2 linked regions of the Callithrix jacchus genome follow. The protein of the gene in region 2 purifies or fractionates together with the protein of the main gene of each other region. This does not show direct contact. Links are inferred from orthologs where the notes say so. Each region holds a gene or a part of one and is shown on either strand. Other genes may lie near its edges. The genes, in order: PLOD1 and HNRNPH2.

Evidence for each region.
Region 1: the proteins of HNRNPH2 (region 2) and PLOD1 purify together in Homo sapiens (affinity purification with mass spectrometry; 3 studies listed by BioGRID and IntAct, counting the BioPlex papers as one, with this or other methods). This does not show direct contact. The link is inferred for Callithrix jacchus from reciprocal best matches to the Homo sapiens genes HNRNPH2 and PLOD1.

What each region holds. Positions count from the first base shown.
Region 1 is NC_133508.1:49,817,845-49,822,452, forward strand, and holds the start of PLOD1 (procollagen-lysine,2-oxoglutarate 5-dioxygenase 1), read left to right. Parts: upstream 1-1,683; 5' UTR 1,684-1,773; coding exon 1,774-1,849; intron 1,850-4,608. UniProt on the Homo sapiens protein: Part of a complex composed of PLOD1, P3H3 and P3H4 that catalyzes hydroxylation of lysine residues in collagen alpha chains and is required for normal assembly and cross-linkling of collagen fibrils.
Region 2 is NC_133524.1:97,712,598-97,716,370, reverse strand, and holds the end of HNRNPH2 (heterogeneous nuclear ribonucleoprotein H2), read right to left. Parts: intron 2,830-3,773; 5' UTR 2,777-2,829; coding exon 1,427-2,776; 3' UTR 627-1,426; downstream 1-626. UniProt on the Homo sapiens protein: This protein is a component of the heterogeneous nuclear ribonucleoprotein (hnRNP) complexes which provide the substrate for the processing events that pre-mRNAs undergo before becoming functional, translatable mRNAs in the cytoplasm. Binds poly(RG).

The sequences.
Region 1 (4,608 bases), on a different chromosome or scaffold from region 2:
TCATATGGGTAGGGTATTTCCCTGGCTGCAGCATCTGAATGCTGTTTTGTTTGTATTTTCATTTTTTGGTTTGTTTTTTTTTTGAGACAGGGTCTGACTCTTGCCCAGGCTGGAGTGCAGTGGTGTGATCATGGCTCACTGCAACCTCCACCGCCCGGGCTCAAGGGATCCTCCCCAGCCATCCTCCTGAGTAGCTGGGACTACAGGCACATGCCATGATTTTTGTATTTTTGGTAGAGACAGGGTTTCACCATGTTGCCCAAGCTGGTCTTGAATTCCTGGGCTCAAGCGTTCTGTCTGTCTTGACCTCCCAAAGTGCTGGGCTTAAAGGCAGGAACCACTGCACCCAGTCCATCTGAATGATTTATTAATATCTTTTGATTGTTGATTTATTAATATCTTTTTCTAGCACAGATGCATAGCCTCCTCTATGTTGTCCATGGACATGTGTGACATTCCTTCTCTCCCACCCCTTTGTCCCTGCAGGGAAACCCCCTGCGAGCCTAGGGTCGCACCCACCACCCCCTGCTCTGGAGCCTAATCTGCTGGGAAAAGACTCCTGGGTCTCTGTCTGAGATTTCTTCCAAGGAAGGGAGGATTTTTGTTCAGAGGTGGCTGTCCCCATCTGACATCTGGACCAGGAACCCTTGCCTAGTCTAGAGACCATTGTTGGGCTTTGGGCATGTGTGAAGAGGCCCTAAAAACTTTCATTGATTCGTTTATTCATTTCACAATTATTCTCTGTAGGATGTAGTGGCTCAGCCTGTAATCCCAGCACTTTGGGAGGCAGGAAGATCCCTTGAGCCCAGGAGTTCGCGACTAGCCTGGGCAACATAGGGAGACCCTTATCTCCACAAAAATAGAAAAATTAGCCCGGGGTGGTGGCTCAGGCCTGTGATCCTACCTACTCCGGAGGCTGAGATGAGACGCTCGCTTGAGCCCAGGAGGTCGAGGCTGCAGAGAGCGGGGATCGCGCCACTGCACTCTAGCCTGGGCAACTGAACGCAATCTTGTCTCCAAAAACTGGAAAGAAAAAAAAAAGCCTCAGAAGCAAGACTTTCTTTGGCTCAAAGGTTTGCCTCCCAGGCACACTAAGGCAGATCAAGTGATTGCCTTTTGGGGATTGTGGGGTGGAGAATGGAGAGGTGCGTTCTGCATTTCCAGCGGTCCTGGTGGACCACGGAGGGGTGTCCATGTCTCTGAACGCATCCCTATCCACCCTCACCCCTTGGGTTTTGGGGAGGACTGCTGAAATCATTAAAGCTGACTTCCTTGGGGCTTGACCTGGGGCTGCTCTAAGTGCGCTACAGGCAACGCCATTAACCCGTGCAGGACCCAAAGAAAAGATGCTATCAAAAGCCCCACTTTTCGGGCTAGCAAACCGAGGCTTACGGCTATCGATGCCATGGAGCGTTGGCGCGGAATCTGGGGTCTAGAAATGGTGGCCTCGCCCTCCTCTCACAGCCTTTTTCCTGGTCGCAGTAAACCCCCGCAGAAAAGGGAGGGGGGAGGAGGCAGGGCCAGGCGGAAGCCCCGGGAGCTGCACCGACGAGCGGAGGGAGCCGCCCGCGCTCGGAGAGGCCGGGGCTCGGGCAAGTCTGCAGAAAAACCCTTCCCCCGGGGCAGGCGCGGGGGAGGGCGGGGAGGGGCGGAGAGGGGCGGTGCCGCCCCCGGGGCGGGCCCAGTGCGTGGCAGCGGGACCTGCGGCCCCGTCGCGAAGTTTCCAGCCCTGCCAGCGCCGCCGGGTCGGCCGATAGTCCCCAGAACCTGGCCATGTGGTCCCTGCTGTTCCTGGCCCCGCTGGGCTGGTTGCTCCTGGCCGAAGCGAAGGGCGACGCCAAGCCGGAGGGTGAGGGCGCGAAGGCCGGGGGCTGGAGCGCGGATCCCAGCGGGAGGGCCAGTCCTGGGGCTGTCTCTCTGGGTACGACCTGAATGGGAGGCCTGGGCTGGGGAGGGAGTCTGGGTTCCGGCTCCTTGTCCACTTACTTGCTGGTGGCTTGAACAAATCGCTTCCCCTCTTGGGGCTGCGGTTCCTGCTTCGGGAAGGAAAGGGTGACAGCTGAGTCCCATTCAGCACAGAAAAGCTCAAATAATAATAGTTCTCATAATAACAACGGCCAGTGGCTACTCTGCGGAGCGCTCATTGTGGGCCAGGCATCCGTTAGGCATGATTGCCACCCCGTGTTTCTTTCTGTTATCCCCGTTTTCCAGCTGGGCAAACTGAGGCTCCAGAGTTCATTCACTTGCCCAAGATCACACAACTTGTGGGCCTTGGAACCAGGATTTACGCCACCCACCCAGGCGTCTGCTTCCAGAGCCAGGAAACCTCATGACTGTGGGAGTGAGGGGTCTTAAAGGGGACAAGGGAAGGATAGGGTGGAAGGTGTAGCTCACTTTGTGGAGTCGTTTGCCCTTTCACCCGTGCCCCCTGTGGTGTGCTCAGCCCCTGCCAGGCTGGTCTTCCTCAATACAGTTTATTTTAAAAAAAATTTTAATTAATTAATTAATTAATTTATTTTTGACACGGAGCCTTGCTCTGTCGCCCAGGCTGGAGTGCAGTGCGCAGTCTCAGCTCATTGCAATCTCTGCCTCCCAGGTTCAAGTGATTCTTGTGCCTCTGCCTCCCGAGTAGCTGAGATTGCCGACATGCGCCATCATACCCGGCTAATTTTTGTGTTTTTAGTAGAGACAAGATTTCACCATGTTGGCCAGGCTGCTCTTGAACTCTTGACCTCAGGTGATCCGCCTGCTTCGGCCTTCCAAAGTGCTGGGATTACAGGCATGAGCCACTGCGCCTGGCCCTCCCTCCAGTTTATACTTGAGAAAACAGAGACCCAGACAGGTGAAGTGACTGTCCAGGGTGGTCCAGCCAGAGGTGGCTGGTCCGAGGTCAGCTGGACTCCAGTCTAGTGCTCCTTCAACTTCCTAAAGGCAGATTGGCTTGCAGTATGTGTCCCACTGTCCTGAGTGGGTGCCGCCCACCTCCTCAGCCCTCCCTGGCATTGGCCATCTCCAGGGCTGTCCCAAGAAGGGCACAGACTATGGACAGTCCCAGCAAAGCCAAGCGGAACTGGCAGTACCCTCCATGGCATCTTCCTCCTTCAGCCCACCCTCCTGAAGAACTTGGAACTGTACCACCAGAAGAATCCCAGGTTCTGGGACCCATTTTTTTTTTTCTGGTGGGGAGATGGAGTTTCATTCTTGTTGCCCAGGCTGGAGTGCAATGATGCAATCTTGGCTCACTGCAACCTTGCCTTCCTGGGTTCAGGCAATTCTCCCACCTCAGCCTCCTAAATAGCTGGGATTACAGGCATGCATCACCATGCCTGGCTAATTTTGTATTTTTTAGTAGAGACGGGGGTTTCTCCATGTTGGTCAGGCTGGTCTCAAACTCCCAACCTCAGGTGATCCACCCACCTTGGCCTCCCAAAGTACTGGGATTACAGGCATGAACCACCATGCCTGGCCTCTTTTTTTTTTTTTTTTTGTTTTTTGAGATGGAGTCTCATTCTGTTGCCCAGGTTGGAGTGCAGTGGCACGATCTCGGCTCATTGCAGCCTCCACCTGCCAGGTTCAAGGGATTCTCCTGTCTCAGCCTCCTGCATAGCTGGGATCACAGGTATGCGCCATCACGTCTGGCTAATTTTTATATTTTTAGTAGAGACAGGGTTTTGCCCTGTTGGCCAGGGTGGTCTTGAACTCCTGACCTCAAGCGAGGGATCTGCCCACCTTAGTCTCCCAAAGTGCTGGGATTACAGGCATGAGCCACCACACCCGGCCAGGATCCCTTTCATAAGTAAGGAATCATCAACCGAATTTTGGAGATGGGAAGATTGAGGCACTGGAAGGTTAAACATCTGGTCTCTCATTGCCAGAGCTGGTTGGAGGTGGGGGCATTGTCTGGAACTCAGACCTACTGTTCATTTCTGCACCTCTGAATGGGAGGGGGGTGCTGTTACCTGGAAATGCTGCCTGGGGAGCCTGCTCAGCTCCCCCAGACCCAGCTGAGGTGTGACCTTCAGCCAGCTGGATGGGAGGACAGAGTGAAATGCTCATCTTCCCTGCAGGCCTTGCCTGAGCAGCTCACTGACTAGTGTGTGTGTTTTGGGGGGGGCACCCCAGCAGCCCCCAGAGAGGCCAGCTCCTCCCTTTCCCTGGCAGGTGGATGGGAGGGCAGCTGTTGAGGCGGATTCAGCTGGGGGGGAACGGGATTTGCTGTAGAGTCTTGGGGAGTGAGGTGGGTGGGGTGCCGTCGGCAGCGGGTCTCTTCCCTCACCCAAAACCCATGGCCTTGGTGCATGGAGAGAAACAGGGACCATTTTCACTTTTAGGGGGCTCCCAATCAGAGGGGGGCACAGAGCACCTCACCTCAGTAGACACCCGTGTCTGAGGGAAGAGATATTGTGCATTCTGGTGTGGGGGAGGGAGCTTCCAGAACAAGGTGGGAGACACAAGAAGCCTTCAACAAAGCAACATCTTCCATCACAGGGAACTGGGGGAATAAAAGGCATCATCCAAACAGGCAGATGTCCCTAGAGCCAACGCCAGATGTCCCACAGCCCTTCGTCCTATTTGTAGAAACTTCTAGCAGATCTCCAGCTCCTGCCT
Region 2 (3,773 bases):
AGAGATAATTTATTGCCATAACATAAGCCTGCTTCATTTTTATGTTTTGTTTTCAACACATAATAATTGTAAGCCTACTTCTTTTTTAACATACAAAGGTGCCTTCTAGTTTGTGGTGAAATAAAAAGGATTATTTATTTGCTTTCACTTCTTTGGATTTTAGAGAATACTATATTGGTAAGAACAGTCTCCAAAAGTAGTTCAACAGTCCTGTAGACATGGTAATAAGTTTTTTTTAAAGAAAATGTTCAACTTTAATATTAATCAAAGAAATACAAATTAAAATAGCAAAGATATCATTTCTCAACTAACAAACTGGCAAAGATCAAAAAAACTAACGTACATCAATAAGGAGGGTATGAGGGGGAAAAATAAAACACACAGTCCTCTAGGTAGAAAGATAAAGTACCAGAATCTTTCTGGTAACACAAATCACAAGCCTTAAAAATGGGTATATCCTTGACTCAGCAATCCCATTTCTAGGGATGTATCTTAGAAATAACTAATGATATATGCAACAATGAACATATAAAGATGTAAATATAATTTTTAAATTAAAATTTTTAAGAGGGAATTATAAAATCAGTGTGCCCATATGACAGAACATAATAAAAATCAGAGCAAGATTTTTTCCAGTTTTTAAAAGGAAGATTTATTTAACAAGTTTCACTTAGTACAATACATCTAAATGGAAATCACAATACAAGGAAAGATTTAAACCAAAGCCTCAGAATCTCATACAAACGACACGACCAAACTTCTAAAGTATTGGTATTACATCTTAAAATTGTCCCGTATCCTTTAAAAAAAAAAAAAGTAAAAGTGTACACTCACGTGCCTTACAGAGTATTAAACCAAAAAGCTAGAATTAACAAACATGCCAAATGTTTTCACTTTGAATCGTAGACACAGCTCCTATATTTGAGTTTTACAGAAAAGCATGTTTCTCAACATGCATCCAAAGTTTTCAATGTATTTGTGGTATAAGAGCAACATTTAACATAAGTGAAACTGCATTAACCTAAATAAGCTTACTGCTTAAGTACACTCCTACAACATAACTAACTTGAGAAAAGCTAAAAATCGTTTAAACAGTTATGGTCAATACTGAACTTTGTTATTATGTCCTAGATGAATGTTTCAGTGTTCAAAATTACTGAACTTGAAGTTTCAAAATAATCTCAACTCCCACTTTACAGTAAGCATGAATCACAAGCCTGTAATGCAAAACTGTTAAACTTAACTTTTGTTTTCTTAAAAAAGGAGAAAGATAAAGAAAGAGAAGCTGACCAAGAGTGATCAGTATCAATAATATTTCCCATATGCCAATCATACTGGATATACTAGACATCCCTCCCATTCTATTCAACTCCCATAAATGTACAGCTTTTATATCTAGAGTAGCTGTTTAGTGCTCCTTCTCTACCTAAGCAAGGTTTGACTGATAGTCACTGGAGTTTTCCTGGAGAACTTGGTCATATCCACTCATACTGCTCTGACCACCATAACCACCTCCATAACCACCACTCAGCTGCTGGCTAGCAGGACCGCCATAACTAGACTGGTTGGATAAGCCCATCCCTCCCATCATTTGGCTACCATAAGCGCCACCACTTGCCCCTGCTGTAGAATTCAAAAACAGTTCTACATAGCTGTGATCATAAGCCCCTCCACTTGTTCCTGCAGTAGAATTTAGGAAGAGCTCCACATATCTGTGTTGCATATTAGCCTTGTCTTTTGCCATAGCTGCCACAGCATCTTCATGAGTAGCAAATTCAACATCTGCCTCACCAGTAACTCTGCCATCGGGTCCAATTTCAATATGTACTCTCATGGGATTAAGAGGTGAGAAGAAATTATAAATATCATTCTCAGTGGCTCTGTAAGGTAACCCCCTCATGTGTACACAGTGCCCTGTGGTGCTCTGGAAACTGGACCCACCATCTCCATATCTATGATCAGACATTCCTGAAAAACAGTAATTGAGGTCTCTTCCAAATCTATCTGACCCAAAGCCATATCCATCATTATAGCCACCATAGTCATCATAGCCTCCATACCCTCCACCATAGGCACCACGCCTCATCCTTTCAAACCCAGCTCCTCTGCCAATGCTATTATACCCTCTGCCAGCCCCTGGCCTATCATAGGGACCTGGCCGCTGCATAGCCATGAGCTTTCGAGGGGGATCATAGTGGGTTCGAACTTCAGCTCGGCTACTCTTGAAGATCTCAATGTACCTGTGCCCTATTCTTTCCTTGTGTTTCTTTAAGGCCTTCTCAGCTATCTCCTGCGAAGCAAACTGCACAAAGGCTTCCCCTGTGCTTCGCCCCTGAAAGTCCACTGGCAGTGTCATCCCATTTGGCACAATTTCCAACCCTGAAAAGAACTGAACGATCTCTTCCTTGCTACAGCCAAATGGGAGTCCTCTAAGCCGGACGAAGCCATCGTTGGCAGTATCAGGGCTATTCGGACCTGTATGCTTCAACACCCAATCCATTTCAACACTGTTAGACTTGAATACTTCAACGTATCTGTGTCCCATGGTTTCTCTGTCCTTCTTCAAAGCCAATTTCACTTCCTCTTCAGATTCAAGTTCAACAAATGCTTCGCCACTTGGTCTTCCTTCTCTGGTGTAGATGAAACGAATACCTGATGTGCCATTTTGGATCTTGCAATCAGAGAAGAAGCGCATCACTTCATCAGCTGAGCAGGACCAGGGTAGGCCCCTGACCTTCACCACGAACCCCTCCCTGCCTTCTGTGCTCAGCATCATGGTGACTGTTGGGCTCTTGGTGGCAAGTTTGGCTCAACACAATTTTGGTGTAGCTGGAAAAAAAAAATTAGAAGACTACTGTCATGGAAAAATGCTAATACAGTAAAAGAGAAAAGCAAACTATTAATAGAAAACTCAATTATGCTGACAGCTTTGCTGTAAGACATCTGTATAAACAAAAAAGAATTCACCAAATTTTTAACTCATTCATTTTTTAACAGTTATTTATTCAATGCCTATTACGTGTTGGATACCATTAAAAATTAACAGCAATTGGCCAGGCACCGTGGCTCACATCTGTAATCCCAGCACTTTGGGAGGCCGAGGCAGGTGGATCACCTGAGGTCAGTAGTTTGAGACCAGCCTAGTCAATGTGGTGAAACCTCATCTCTACTAAAGATACAATTAGCTGGGCATAGTGGTGGGCACCTGTAATCCCGGCTACTCAGGAGGCTGAGGCAGGAAAATTGCTTGTACCCAGGAGGCAGAGGTTGCAGTGAGCCAAGATCACACCACTGCGCTCCAGCCTAGGCAACCAGGGCAAAATCCCATCTCAAAAAAAAAAAAAAAAATTAACAGCAACAAATAAATGGGAGATGTCAACAAATAAAAGATGGCTATATCTGAATATATAAACATAAAAAACTTCACTAGATCAAAAGATTAAACAATAATTAAAACACAAAACACAAGTTATATAAGTTCTTTATATAATATCCTTATATAAAAATGTAGGCAAATCAATAAAATCAGGGATATATTTAGGCTTCAGAGATAAATGAAAAAAAGACATTATTGGGAATTCACACATTCATTTTAGAAACATCTTGTAGTTGCCAAGTCCAATACTCGGCTCTAGCATACAAGAATCAATAAGCCCACAAAGGGCTTATGGTCCTACAGGGGGATTGTATGTAATTATTAAAGACATAAATGCAAATAGACATTATAATTGCCATGACCCTCTGGGTGAGGTGTAAGCACAGTATTAAGGAGG